Struthio camelus: one gene and its partner. The main gene of each other region encodes a partner of the protein of the gene in region 2 in a complex. Links are inferred from orthologs where the notes say so. Each region holds a gene or a part of one and is shown on either strand. Other genes may lie near its edges.

Region 1 (7,349 bases), on a different chromosome or scaffold from region 2:
AAAATGTTACATGTTTTGCCCACCTCTTCACTCTCTTTCCAACTCTATGTGCCACCTAATCTGCAAGCTACCTGGAACAGGAGCATCTCTGGTATCTAGCACAATGAGACTGCAGTTTTCACACGTACTTCTGGGTGATATAACAGCATGAGCAAGAAGGATGCAAGCCTTGGAGCTGATAAACCCTTTGGAACTTCCCCAGGGGACAGTGACGGCAGCAGCAAACAAAAGGTTTTAGACAAAAGCACATCACTTAAAAGGGAGGAAAGAAAAAAAAAAAAAAAAGGAAAAAGGAGGTGGGGAGGCACTCAGCAAAGGTCCCTTGGTCTTTGGATTGCATTCCTCCCCAACCCAGAACACACTCAGTGGACTTTTCAAGCACGTACACTGCAGAACTTAAAATATCTTTTTATTATTTCCATCTTTTTTTAAATAAGTCATTCACTGTTACACTACCCTGGTGATAGCTCAGTTTACCTTAACTTGTAAGAGCCAAAGATATTTACGGCCTTGTCTCTTGGAACAATTCTAGACATCTCTAGCAGTGGTGAAAGCTCCATCGGAAATACAAGGAACTTTGCACAGGCTTTTGGGGAAACTCAGATACGAAGAGAGATTACCATGTTTGAGACGCACAGAAGATAAAGTCACTTTAATCTGTCATCCAACTTACTTGCTATTACCGCATTTTCTCTTTTTTTTTTTTTTTTTTTAAACAGGATGCATTATTTGCCATTTTCCTTCATTATGATTTGTATCAGGATAGGACTGACACCATTCCACATAAGGCTAGAAGATCACTTCTGATAAACATCAGAGGAGCCAGAACTTTTTTATATATATATTCACATAAATAAAATAATCCCAGCACAGTGCTAATACAAGCACCTTCCTAACATGCAAGAAAAAAGTATGTCTTTCAAAAAGTACGGAAGATGCTATCACTGTCGACTTCTCGTTTACAAAGTAACCCTCACAGGCATCTTCAAACTAAGTGGCATTTACACAGTTCCTTGCAGGAGTGGAAAACAGAAATGGCTATAATCGCAGGAAACACAATGCGGGTAGTAAACCATAACAGAAGATGCGCTGTGTCTTGATTTAATTCAGCTCAAATCTCCCAATACCAAAACAGATTCCAAAAAAAAAAAAAAAAAAAAAAAGTCATGCTAGCTACAGCTATTTGAAACAGGTAAGTCGAGAAGCTAGTTGCCAGAGAAGCCAGGAACACGTTTCTTAACGATTCCAAAGCTACACCTCTCCCAAAGCAACACCTCTCCCAAAGCAATTTATTTTTTGATTAAATACAGCAATTTTTGGCACACCACCCAGGTTGAATGCTCATAAGGACAGAAGATATGATTGAGCAAGCTGGAGGTTTCTTCAGTACAGCTTTTCTTTGGGGAGGGGGGAATATATGAACAAGAAAATCTATCCAGTTATTTAACAAACCAAACCTTCACTCTATTCCAGAAAATGTCCAAAACGTTCTCAAATAAGAGAGAACAGTGCAAGCTAGAAGTAAAACAGCATTTTGATGCAGAACTCCTCCTTTAAAAATCAAACCCAACAGCTTTTTTCTGCTATTTAAAGAATACCCTCACGTTGAGGAGGGCTGTAAGCATGGCAGAAGCTACTTCTCTTGCAACATTTTTATTTATTGGGTTGCATAAAATAAGTTATATTAAGGACTGCTTTGACATTTAACACGCATCAGTGCAAAACTGTAATTTCAGATCAAACATACACCCTAAATCCTTTTTTAACCTTTTCACATCCAAGAAAAGGATTGTCCTATTTATGTTTTTTCCCAGAAACTTTAGTCTCTTAAAGCCAGAGCAGTGTAAAACCAAACAAAAATGATTAAAAAAGCAGGATTCTTTTTTTTTTTAGGAGTTATTTCTGACTGATTGCATTATATGCCAGAAGCAAGTTAATCTTGTGTGTAACTGCAGGAGTGCTGCTTCCCCATTATTTGACGATGCCTAACGCACCCAGGGAAACAACTCCGTGCAGATCAGCGTTACTGACCCAGAGCAGCACGGCGGTTCGCTGAAAGAGCTCTCCGAGTTTGCACCTGTTGCCTTGGAGGCCTGGACTGGGCTTTATTTATCAATAATTCACACCGTAGCCCTCAGAAACTCTGCCCTTTTTCCATTAAGGAAGCAGCCTCAGTATCAACCGGGGCAGCTTCCAGAAGATTTAATCCAGCTCTTGGAGGGTGCAACACAGAATTGGCTTATCCACACGCGGGTGCGCAGTTTATCGCTCCTTCCCCCCTTCCCCTTATCGCTCAGCGAAGCAACTTCGGGAGCCGGATGAGCGATCTGCTGAAGGAGAAAAGGGGGGAAGGGGCGGCCGGGGAGGAAGGAGGCAGCCCTGGCCCGCGACTAAACCCACATTTTCTCCCAGCACAGAGCGCCTGCCCGGCCCAAGGGAAACTCGGCGGCGGAGCAGGAGGCCGAGGTCGGTCCTGGCGGGCGGCGGTTGGGGGGGGGGGGGGAGCCGGGCCCGGAGCCCCCCCCCCCCCCGGGGGCCCCCGCAGCGCCGGGCTGCGCACCTGACACCCCGCCGGGGGGCAACGGCGCGGGCCAGGGGGCCAAGATATATTAGGGATATATGTGTATATATATATATTATATATGGGGGGGGGGGGGGCGGCCCGGGGAAAGTTCGCGCCGGTAGCGGCGGCAGCCCGGCCGGCCTCGCCCCCTCGCGGCGCCCGGCCCTGCCGCCAGGCCGCGGCCCGGAGGGGGCGGCGGCCGCCGGCGCCGAGGCGGCCAGGCCGGGGCGGGCGAGGCGGCGGTGCGGGGGGGAAGCGGCGGGAGGGCCGCGCGGCGGCGGCGGCGCCGTTACCTGTGAGGCGGATCTTGATGCTGGAGCCGTTCCGGCGGGTGCCGGGGTTCGACATCGCGGGCGCGGGCTGGGGGAGCCGGTCTCAGCCGCCGGCCCCGGGCACCCCCATGCGGGCCTGCTGCCGCCGCCGCCGCCGCCCGCCTCAGCCCCGCCGCCCGGCCCGGCCCGGCCGCGGAGAGCGCGCTGGCGCCGCCCCCGCCCCGCCGCCCGCGGGAGAGGGGGCGGCGCACGTCAGCACGCAGCGCGGCGCGGCCGCGCGCCGCCGCCATGGAGGTGAGGTCGGCCTGGAGGGGGGCGGGGGGGAGGAGAGCGGCAGCGCCCCCTGGCGGCGGGGCGGAGAGGGGGCGACGGCGGGGCCCGGCGGGGGGGCGAGGCGGGGCGGGGGTAACAATGGGGGTGACATGGGGGCCCGGAGGGTGGATGGGGCGGCAGAGGGGGTGGGTAGGAGTGATACAGGGGGTGCGTGGGGGTGGCACGGGGGTCCCTTGGAGGGTGCATGGAGGGGGGTGGGGGTGCATGGAAGGTGTCTGGGGGTGGGATGGAGGGTGCGTGGGGGGGGTGAATGGAGGGTGCGTGGGGGTGGGATGGGGGTGAATGGAGGGTGGCTGGGGTGGGATGAGGGGTGAATGGAGGGTGCGTGGGGGTGGGATGGGGGGTGAATGGAGGGTGGCTGGGGTGGGATGAGGGGTGAATGGAGGGTGCGTGGGGGTGGGATGGGGGGTGAATGGAGGGTGGCTGGGGTGGGATGGGGGTGAATGGAGGGTGGCTGGGGTGGGATGGGGGTGAATGGAGGGTGGCTGGAATGGGATGAGGGGTGAATGGAAGGTGGCTGGGGTGGGATGGGGGTGAATGGAGGGTGCGTGGGGGTGGGATGGGGGTGAATGGAGGGTGGCTGGGGTGGGATGGGGGTGAATGGAGGGTGGCTGGGGTGGGATGAGGGGTGAATGGAGGGTGGCTGGGGTGGGATGAAGGGTGAATGGAGGGTGGCTGGGGTGGGATGGGGGTGAATGGAGGGTGGCTGGGGTGGGATGGGGGGTGAATGGAGGGTGTCTGGGGTGGGATGGGGGGTGAATGGAGGGTGTCTGGGGTGGGATGAGGGGTGAATGGAGGGTGGCTGGGGTGGGATGGCGGTGAATGGAGGGTGCGTGGGGGTGGGATGGAGGTGAATGGAGGGTGGCTGGGGTGGGATGAGGGGTGAATGGAGGGTGGCTGGGGTGGGATGAGGGGTGAATGGAGCGTGTGGGCGGCTCAGGGCAGGGTGGAGGGGAGGAAATGGTGGGTGGAGTAGGGAGGGTGGGGGCCGGGGCAGTGTGGCAGGGCGCAGGGTGCAGCAGAGGGGTGATGTTTTGGGGGGGGGGGGGACACGGGGCCAGGTTTCAAGCAGAGCGGTGCCAACCCGAGAGCCTGGTGCGTGGGTCTGGGGGTGAGGGCAGCTCAGCCCCCAGCGGGCTCAGGTGCTCGTCCCCGCGCGCCCACAAGGCCGGGATGTGCCCGGGGGGCCACCCGGCTGCCCGCGGTCCCCCGCAGACGCAGCCACTGGCCGGAGACGATGCCGTGGGAGCAGCCTGGCCGTGGCCCCCGCGCCCCATGCAACCCCCCCGAGCACCTCGTTGCTCACTGCTTCCCCAAATGCCTGGTCGGCCAGCAGTTAACGCTGGGGCCTGGTCCTTGCGCCTCTGCCGTGACCCGTCCCCAGCCTATTGATTTACGAACTAACAAATTTAAAAAAAAAAAAACATACACCAACTTCTATTTGCAATGCCAGGATGCGTGTACGCTGAACAAGCCCGCTCACCTCTGCTGCCAGCCAAAAACAAAATCGCTACTGAAAGAAAAATCCTGAAAGGATCCCTAAATCCTCCCTGTCCGCCGAGGCACGGCGCATCCCCCAACCTCCCTGCGCCAAACCTCCGGGCCAGCCTTCTTTTACACCCAGCTGGCTGAGACTAGGTTGTCCTGTTTGCTTAGACACGTGCTGCCGTCCCCGCGGAGCAGACGCCGGGCTCAATGCGGGCCTGCGTAGCCAGACAGAAGTAGCAAATACTACTGTAGAGCAAACGTGAGCTATTTTTCCTGCAGGCAAAGAGATGACCTAGTTCCCCGATCGGGCTGATTTATGGAACTGGAAGCGGGGACGAGGACGGGGCGTGCCGGGCTCGGCGTCGCTCCTGACCGCGTTCGCGCCGAGCTCGTCGCTGGCTACTGCCAGGGGACAGCGGCAGGGCTGGCTCCGCGGCTTCTCACCCTCCCCGCCTCTCGGCCAGACCCGAAGCAAGGGGCGCGCGCGCAGGGAGGCTCTGGAAGCAGAAAGGGACGCGGAGGGTTAGCGGCTAAGTTCGTTAGTCCGACCAGCGCACGCCTTAATTCGGGATTTCGAAAGTACCGCTGTTGTGCTGAGCAGAGAGGATCTTCAGTTTTAAACCACAGCTTTTATTCCTTTGCTCTGCCCATCCTTTCCCAGTGCTGTTTAATGGAAGGCGTGAGGCCCTTCGGTCCTCGCCCAGGACCTTGCTCTTGCTGCGTGCCGGCGTTGGCTAACTGAGAGCTCAGCTCAGGACCAGGCGGGTCCCCTGCAGTGACAGAGCGCGTCGGGCTCTCACTTTTCGAGCGTGCTCAGGGCGGAGGAGCACGGCAAAGATGTTTATGGCTAGCCCCGACAGCCCTGCTGCTCGATTTCCAGCCTGCCGCTGAGCTGGTCCCCAGCGTCTCGGCTCCCCGCGGCACACTTTCCTCGCTGTTTGTTTTCAGCTCCAGATCATCACTCGGAGGGACCGAGCTGTAGCTGTTACAGTCTGTTTGCTCAAAGTCTGCAGCATCTTAACTGAGCCTAGCGACAGATCAGCTGGGAACCACTCTCACTAGCGGTTCCTCCGAGGCAAAGAGGAGGAAGAAACCCCACTCCGTAAATGCCAGGAAGAAAATGCAGAATACAGGCGACGGAGAAGAGAAAGCCTCCGACAACCTACGGCCAAGCATCAGGTGCAGCAAAAAAACTGGAGACTCAAGCAATGCTTTCCGCCGTTCACGTTCTTCCCCCAAATCCACCTCCCCGACCTTTCCCCCTGCCCAGCCACGCTAACCAGGGCTCGGTCCCATCCCCTGCCGGCAGAGCTGGCTCCCGCAGCCCCGAGTTACGCGGTTCCCGGCACAGCCCCTGTCTCGGCCGCTGCTGGGACTCTCCTTCGCCCGGGCACAGACTCCTGCCTCCTGGCCAACTCCGGCGCTGCTGCTTCTCCCACCCCACGCTCCAGGGAGCTGAACTTGCTGTTTCTCCTATTTCTTCTTTCTTTTCTCCAGCCATCAGTTTTCGGCTTGCGTAACTCCCCAAGCCGGCTCCTGGCAGGCCGGGTGAGTCAGGGGCAGCGCAGGCCCCAGCTCCCTGCTTTGCATCCCTGGGAACTGCCACCGAAACCCCCTTCGATCAAGTCTTACAAAGTCAGAGCCCCCATAACTAATTTACATGGTCCCATGGAGGTTGCTGAGTGTTCCTGTGGCAGCAGAAAATGAATAATTCGGAATAAAGGTACTTTGGAAGAGCCCCTACCCCCTTTACGGTGTCCTTTATTGACAAAGGAGCCAGCACAGGCACCAGCACCGCCTTTGTAGAGCTCTAGAGAGCCAGGGATGGAGCAGCCATCATCCGGCTTCTCTGGGGTTCAGATGCAGGGTGCTTTAATTAGAAAAACTACTTATTGGTGCATCTCTAAGCAGAGGATGAGCCCAGGCAGCAGGAGACCCCCCGCCGTCCCCTCCTGTGCTGCAGCCTCGGCTTCGCCCAGCAGCGAGGTGTGGACACCCGAGGAGGAGGAAGGTGCCAGGGGCTTTGCCAAGAAGCCAGGGTCAAGCTACTCTTAATCTGCCTTTGGGAAGCAGCCACCCCGTGAACAGCTCCCCGACTAATCCTTCGCCCCGCGCCTGTGAGCTGGCTGCAGCAGCAAGGGAAGGAGGGTCACGCCAGGGAGACGGAGGGTGATGCGAGAAGTCGGTGTCTCCAACCCTTTGGAGCTGAATGCCAAAGCGGCAACTGCCACCTGTGCCCGGGGCCAGCGGTGATTAGAGGAGAGCACCACTCATTAAAGGGGCAAGCAGATGCCTGCAGGTAGCTCACGCGCCTGCTGAGGCAGCAGCCTCCCAAACACACAAGGCATCAGGCAGGTACATACAGCCGAGCAGGCAGCTGTGTTCAGACAGACACCGTTCCCAGTTCTCCAGCCGCGTTTGTACAACAGCATCAGTCGAAGCCATGCTGCCTCTGCCTTGCTCATGGTGCAGCTCTCCACAAGGCTGGTGGCTATGGAGGATGCATACTCCTACCCATGTTCTTAAAGAGGGGGTCACGTTGTTTTCTCCATCATGTTCTGGGCTTTAGGGGCACCATTTGGTTGCAGTTTAAGCTATCCACTTGCTCTCAGAGCTCTGCATAATACTATCCACCACTGGCAGGCCTCTCCAGCATGCACAGGTAAGCTGGAAAAAAAGACAGACAGCTCTGC
Region 2 (7,289 bases):
TAGGCACACCCTGAGTAAGAAACGTTAAAGATTCACAAAAGCCTTTAAAACCAAGTTCTTACTCTTCCCACCCCCCTAGTACAAGCAGTACAGGTCTTTCTCTAAGCTTATGGAAATGAGTTACTACCACATGAGTCAGTTAAAACTTAAGGGGCGTAAACTTAAAAAAGCATCAACTAGTACATAGCTACAACGAATACTCTCACAAACAACAGAATACACTTTAGAAGAGTGGAAGGCATAAAATGAGATTTTTTAAACGCTCAGGATTTATTCCTCTGAGGGAGTACAATCTTACTGAAAAGGAATTAAACTAAAACTTTGAATATGCTGTCCAGGTTTGGTAAAAAGGGTTTAGGATAACTCAACACTGTCAGTCTCTCAGGCTGAAGTTTAGCATAGATTTAGCCTGGCACTACACTAGAATCAAAACCTGTCATCTCTTTGCTTGTCCACTCGTTCCCACCCTCACACGCCTCTCTCTCTTGCACTGGTGTTTGTGTAGCAAGCGTGCAGCAAAATGGCTTGGAGAGCTGATCTTGCTGAAAAATGTAACGGGGCTCGGGGCAGGTGAAGCTTAGCAATGAGCCAGGTCACTTTTCACAGTGTACTTCACTGTCCAGCTATATGAACCTGTGTACCTGCACAAAGGCAGGCACAGAGCAGGGTCAGGACCAAGCAGCTACCAGCAGCAAAGCATTGTTTCTTTTCCAAGGCACTACCAGCTTAAACGTATACTGAATTACAGATTGGGAAATATGAGACCAGATATTGATAATCAACTTTCACTGGGTTGTTTTTAAGCCTATTGTCTTCAAAAGTACTGATCACACGCTAACAGCCTATTTAACATACATAGAAAACGCATATTGAATCAGGCCTTACTATTTCCACCAAAAATAGTAATTTCAGACAAAGTCAAAAATCTCATAGTGAATTATTAAGCACATAGGCAAAGATTTTTTTAACCAATCACACAGAGATTTTTTTTTTTTTACATGTGCCCTTAAGTGACTTTATAATCATCATTGATATTTATCCCAACTAGGCTAAGTGCTTATTTTTAATTAATTCCCATTAAATGTTTTGGCTTGATAACACGCTTTAGTGATGAGTTCCTAGCCTAAATAAGCATTTGGTTTAAAGAAAGAAGACTCTGAATTTGTTGTACACTTGCTTAGTCTTCTCACTTCCTTCCCACTATTGATTTACAGAGGTTGTACATATTTCATCAGGTCTGTTGCAGTACTTCTGAGAAAAAGTAATGCAACATGAGAGTAATCACTTGCTATTCATGTAGCTACATAGATATACACTCAGTTTAACAACTCTCTCTTTTGGAAAAAAGGCAGCTGATGTGATTGCCATAACCTCCTCCCCTCTCCATTCAGTACTCGTTCCTATACCACACCTCCCTTTCTGGGGTCTTTAACTCATGATAACAAGTAATTGTCAAAAAAAAAAAAATCCATAAAAACAACCTCTTTAAAATGTTTCCTGTTGCATCCCACAATCATTTGTAGGATGCTGATCACCTGAGAGTTAAAATGAGTCCTGACGGTGGTGAAGGCACTGCTTAAACTGGTACCACAGCCAAAAATGAAACTTTAATCCAATCACAGCTTCACACAGATGTCAAGAGGAAGTCAGAGCCATAGGGCCAAACACTCAAGCCCTTTGGGCTGCACAAGGGCTAGCTCTGATTTACAAGACGGTAACGCGATCTTTAGAGACAGGGCCACACTCCCAGCCTGACTCTCTCCTCAGCTCCCCCGCTCTGGCAGGTCCCAGCCTCGCCTGTCCTGCCTTCCCCTTCCTTTCAGCCCCACGGCCCGGCTCCCAACGCCGCTGTCCCCCTCTGCTCCCCGGCCCGCCTTCTACCTACCGCACCGCTCCTGCGCCCGCAGGCCGCCGGGCGGCGCGGCGCACCGAGCCCGCGACGGCCACAGACCTCGTTTCCTCACGACTCCGGCTGATGCTCCCGACCCGCCGCCCCTGATTTAAACTACAGCGTCTGGCGGTGCCGGGGGGAATAAACCGCCTGAGGAGCCCGGGCCACAGGGGGCGGCCGGCGGCGGGAGCCCCCTGCCGCCTCCCGCGCCCCTCCCCCCGCGGGCGGCCGTTAGGGAGACCGCGGCGCGCGGCGCCCCCCCGCGGGCGGCTCCAACGGCAGCTCCCGCGCGGCGCTGGGTCCTCCTCACGCCGGGGCGGCTATAACTAGGCCAAATTCAGACGGCTTTTTCACGCAACCAGCGTTAAAAGGGATCCATCCCGCGCCTGCGGTTTTCACGCCCTCCCTTCAAAGCACGAAAAGGCATCTTAAATTAAACTTGCAGCCTCGCTCCTTCGTCCGTGTCGAGGGGCCGCGGCAGGGGGGAGGGAAGGAGGGGCACAGGACACGCCACTTTTTCGGCCTGGTTGCGTGGAGGAGCTGCCGCGGCGCCTCAGGCCGCCTATTTCGGAGACGCGTTAAAGTACATCGGGGAAAGAACCAGCCCCACTCCTGTTCGCGGAACCAGGTGCCTCCGAGGGGCCGGGAGGGGATCGCACAGCAGCACTTTGAACTGCGCGTTAACCGCATCCCCATAATTAGGCAGACAGGACCTGCCCGGTGTTGGACAAGCCCCGACACCGCGCACCTCGCTCTGAACCCGGCCCCACGCGCCCCCCGCGTGCCCAACCCCCGGCGCCGCTGCCGGCACCGCCGAGCGCGCTACCGGCCCTGTGGGGGGAAGGGACACACTCCTGGGCGGTACCACTGCAAGCCCACTGTTGGGGGGGGGCGGAGGCGCGGGCGACTGCCTCTCGCCTTGACATCACCCGCTTCCTTAAAGTTACCCAACGGAAAAAAAAAATCCTTAGGGGAAGCTTACGCCACGTGCCGCTTTCTCCTAGGGCATCTGGGGATTCTCACAGTCTGTCTCCTTCCTCCCCTTTGCGACAAATGGTACGAGCCACAGCCACCCGCACAGGTGTGGCCGGTGGGACAAACCAATCGTGGGCGGGGGGGGTGGTGGAAAGCGGTGTGGGCGCGCGCGCACTCGTGTGCGTGTGTAGAAGAGTGATGAGAAGTGGCGAGGCGGGAGGGCGAGACCGGGACGGGGTTGGTCCGCGGCCGCATCATCGCAGAGCGACCGCCGCGGGAGATTGAAGTGCCTGCGCCGCCGCTGAGGCCCTTGCCAGGCCAGAAGGAGGCGGTGCCGCCGCCCGCTCCCGCAAGCCGTTGTCCGGGGGGGGGAGGGGGGAGCGCGCGCGCCCGCCCGCCCCTCCTCCGGTAAGTGCCAGTCAGCGGGTGGGGGAGGGGTGCGGGGCCCGCCCGGTAGCCGTTGCGGAGGGGGGAACCGCTGAGGGGGGAGGCTAACTCGTCTGCGTGTGTGTGGCCGCACCGGCGGCCGAGCGGGCCCAGCCCGGGCGGATCCGCTCCCGGGGCAAAGGCGGCCGGGCCGGGCCGGGCCGCGGAAGGTGCTGCCCTTGCGGCGGGCGGGGAGGCTGTTGGTGGCAGGCCCTTTGGGGGGGGGGGGGAGTGTGCCTGTCCCCGGCTCGCCATGGGTCGCGCCAGCGAGATTTGCCGGCTGGAAGGAGTGATTTTTATTTTGTTTAATTGTTATTATTATTTTGTTTAATTGTTATTAGTGTTTTGGTTAATCAGCGGGGTCTGGAATGGGGAAGGGGGCACGTGAAAGTGGGCGAGAGCTGGTCTCCTCAAGGTGGTGGTTTCATGGACGCGTGAGGCGGGTAAGGGTGGTCGGTCGTGCACCACCGTGTGGTGCCCCCGCTCCCTGGTGCTGGCCCAGGTGTTAGTACAGGCAGGCAGTGAATTGAATCATAACGATGATCTTGGTTTAAAAATTAAAAAAAAAAAGTTCTTAGCTTGAGTCTGTTTCCTGAGCTGACTCTGTCGGCACCAGTGGTTGGTGCAGAGGAACCACTAGTGGCAGGAACTGCTCTGTTTTTGGTGACAGCACTGGTTGAAAGCGTTTATAAAACTAGTTGCTGATTGGCTACTTGAGTTATAATTAGGTCCCCTTTACTTTGAGGGAGCGTTCATTTTAATGCTGAGGGGTTTCAGGTGCTTTTCAATTGATGCCTTAGAAATGCCACATGCCTTAGAAATTGTGCAAGTACTGACCAGATTTCTTCAATGGGAACTTCACCTTTTTAGAAATAAACTGCTTCTTTGATAGCAGTACATGAGCAAAAACCTCTGTGGATGACCATTGTGACTTTAGGAGCTAGACACAAAAGGAGTGGGCTTTTGGGGAACTGACAGCTATATGGCTCTAATATTATCAGTTTATTCGCATACCAGAACTACGTTTGCATTCTGTGACATATTTAATGACCTTATTTTTTGAGTGACCTCGTGTATAAAGGCACTCTTGAGTCTAACAGACCTAATGAAAGCCATTTACCTTTCCTCTAACTGGTCTCTGAATCATAGTGACAAAAGGCTCAAATACAAGGGAAGACAAATTTGTGAGCATGTTAGAGGATGCTTCTGGTACTGAAGGTGACTATTAGACTGAGGGGGAAAAATGGAAAATTCCTAAGAAACTCTGTAACTGGACACTAGTTTGATAGCTCACAAAAGCATCTAGTCTTACCATCTAAATCTATGGAAGAAGCAATTGTCCCATGCAGGAATCTGTTAGCTTTAATTTCTTAAGTGAATACGGTAGCTGTGTCAGTGCCGGCAATTGTTTGCAGTTCAGCATTGTGATGGACTTTTTACATCTTTTGGGGAGAAGTTTGAGCTTTCCCTTCAGTTCCTCACTAGTGTTTATGCCTCATGCTCCCTGTCATAAAGCCTTTATATGCCCTTACTGGTTACCTAGCTCCCTGTTTCTTAGAGCCTCAGATGTCATCAGGGCTTTCCTTTCACTTCTCTTAGTTTCTGTGCTCCTTGTCTACAGAGATGTCTGGGAGATTGCTTCTGTTTCCAGTAGACCTGCTCCTTGCTTGGCAAACCTGGGCCTCTTAGGAAAAAGAAGTTTGATACTGCTTATACAGAGCTACCATGGTACTCAGCTTGGCTTATAACTCCAGCCTATCCAGTTGGTTACTATTGTATACAGACCACATCAGAGCTTGAATCATAGCCTTCCCTGGCTTTGTTTCTGTTGACTGAAAGTAAAAATGAGGGTTTTCATATAACTGCCAGAAAGGACAATTTTGAGGGTAGTAGCAAAAGGAGGTGGGATGAGGGAATAAGGAGTTTTCTTGGGGTTTCTCATAGCGTCTGCCTTAAGTTCAGTGACCAGAAAGGTCGTTCCTTCCCACTTCCCCACTATTTCTGACCTCAAAATCTTATTAATTTAAACTAAAGAGTAACTGGTAACATTTTACTTACCACTCATGCTACTGAGAGCTTTCTAGCTTTCCCCCTTAGGTAAGTTATAAGTCTACAGTAAAAAAGCCTTACACATTTGGAAAGCTGCCTTCCTTGTCAGATTTTGTGCACCAAAATCATTCCTTCCCGCAGCTTTTAAGGCCAGTCTCTAAAATGCCAAGCAAAATATAGGTCACTTAATTGTAATAAAATGCATGTTTGCTGCTGCTTGCTGCTGAAAGAAATATTGAATAGAGTGTTTTTGTTTTTGTTTTAAATCCTATTTTACTATCCCCCTTCTACTTTCATCTTCCTGCGGCTGGATTTCAAAAATAATTTCACTATCTTATCTGTTGAGGGAAAATATATTTATGTGTCTATGTGTATAATAATATATCTACACACACACACACACACACACACACACACGGTTTAGATTGTGGACATCCTGGTGTCACAACGACTAACAAGCTATGGCATAATTCAGTGTCACGCACATGAAGTCCTGTTCTTCATGGCATGACAGCCCCTGTGGCTCGAGAGGGCAGGCGCGGGGGTCAGCAGCATGCCCTGGGAGCGGCCGGACTCGCTTGCAGGCAAGAGAGGGGCGCTGGCGCGTCGTGTTGGGGAGACAGGCGTGCGGGCAGCCCGGGGCCCGGCGGGGCTTGGGCCGGAGCAGCTGGCGGTGCCCCGCCCGGTTCCTTCTTCCTGCCCCTCCGGGACTACAGCTCCCAGAAGCGCCCGGGCTCTCGGCTGAAAGTGAAAATAAACTCCAGGTTACACTTTTTTCTTCCCCTCCCCTCGGTAGTAGCACATGTCCTTTCTCTTTTGTTTCTGCTTTGCAGCCTGGGTGCGTGCTACATCTACGCAAACGCGAGGAATCGCTGCCTGGAGGAAGAGGTCGGATCGGGACCCTGCTGGAGCAGCTTCCAGGAGCCGCTGCTGGGCCCCCTGGAGAAGCCTGGAAGCGACGTTTTTTATGGGGCTAGAAGTCCAGACTCTGCAGTGAAAGTTTCCTCCTCTCCGTGATTCCCACATGCAAGTTGATAACGTGAAAACGGCTGCTTTTCCTGTTGCTGCTGCTACCTCCAGTGCTGAGAGAGAGGTTAGCGCTCTCCATCCCCACCTGCTGCGGTTTCCTTCACCTGGCCCTGGTGCCGCTCGGTGGGTTTGCATTACCATGTGGGGTTAGGAGAGGTGCAGCGAGCTTCTGCAGCGTTCAGCAGTAAACATGGAGGCGACGGGTAAACCAGATGGCAGGGAGCAGAGTCATCAAAGCAGCGGCACAGATGCTCCTGGGGACGCTTCTATGGACCGCTACTTGCGATCTCAGGGCTTATATAGAAAGAGAGTTGCCAAGGATGGATCTTGTCTCTTCAGAGCTGTGGCTGAGCAGGTAACTAGTTCTTTAAATAAAGCTGCTTTGCACAAAAGAGTGGGAAGTGTAGGATCTCATTAGTGGGTGATACTTAATGTTAAAATGCAAACAACTATAGGTTAAGGTGACACGTGTGCCAAGAAAAGAGAATAGTACTCGAGGAGAGAGACATTCCGTATGTGCAGCATTATTGTGCTCTCAAGAAAATGTTAGCTTTTAAGTTTTGACACTCCCCTCTACATTCTTCATGTAAGATTTCAGCATTTGGGAACAATAGCTTCATATAAAACAACTAAGAACAAGGCTTTTAAGCGCCTTCCATTAAGTTCAGTTTCCTAGACAGTTTTAAGTGGTTTATTGTAAAATTAGAGAAAACAAACAATTTATCTGATTCTTCCTGTTGAATTCCCCCTCCCCCATTTCAGTGTAATGGTTAAAGGAAAAAAGTGACAGCGTCATCTTGTCTTAAATACAAACAAACAGCAGTGGGAGCTCTGGTGCTTCTGTTTGTGAGAGCCCAAATTCCTGTGCTAATACACAGTGCATTTCTTGTTTTTTAACTACTTTCTCCACTAAATTTTA

Evidence for each region. Proteins that work in one complex are often made in the same cells at the same time.
Region 1: the proteins of SMAD1 (region 2) and SMURF1 are in contact, whole or in part, in an NMR structure (PDB 2LB1), measured with the Homo sapiens proteins. The link is inferred for Struthio camelus from reciprocal best matches to the Homo sapiens genes SMAD1 and SMURF1. Residues at the interface, in NP_001003688.1 of Homo sapiens: Asp221, Thr222, Pro223, Pro224, Pro225, Ala226, Tyr227, Leu228, Pro229, Pro230, Glu231, Asp232; in NP_065162.1 of Homo sapiens: Glu313, Val314, Arg315, Ser316, Arg321, Tyr323, Val325, Asp326, His327, Arg330, Thr331, Thr332, Gln333, Phe334.

What each region holds. Positions count from the first base shown.
Region 1 is NC_090956.1:4,661,721-4,669,069, reverse strand, and holds the start of SMURF1 (E3 ubiquitin-protein ligase SMURF1), read right to left. Parts: upstream 3,009-7,349; 5' UTR 2,912-3,008; coding exon 2,857-2,911; intron 2,467-2,856; exon of another isoform or gene 2,413-2,466; intron 2,254-2,412; exon of another isoform or gene 2,195-2,253; intron 1-2,194. UniProt on the Homo sapiens protein: E3 ubiquitin-protein ligase that acts as a negative regulator of BMP signaling pathway. Mediates ubiquitination and degradation of SMAD1 and SMAD5, 2 receptor-regulated SMADs specific for the BMP pathway.
Region 2 is NC_090945.1:34,653,210-34,660,498, reverse strand, and holds the start of SMAD1 (mothers against decapentaplegic homolog 1), read right to left. Parts: upstream 3,014-7,289; 5' UTR 2,874-3,013; exon of another isoform or gene 2,850-2,873; intron 2,118-2,849; exon of another isoform or gene 1,886-2,117; intron 1-1,885. Other genes in the region: OTUD4 (OTU domain-containing protein 4), read left to right, coding at 6,561-6,725. UniProt on the Homo sapiens protein: Transcriptional modulator that plays a role in various cellular processes, including embryonic development, cell differentiation, and tissue homeostasis.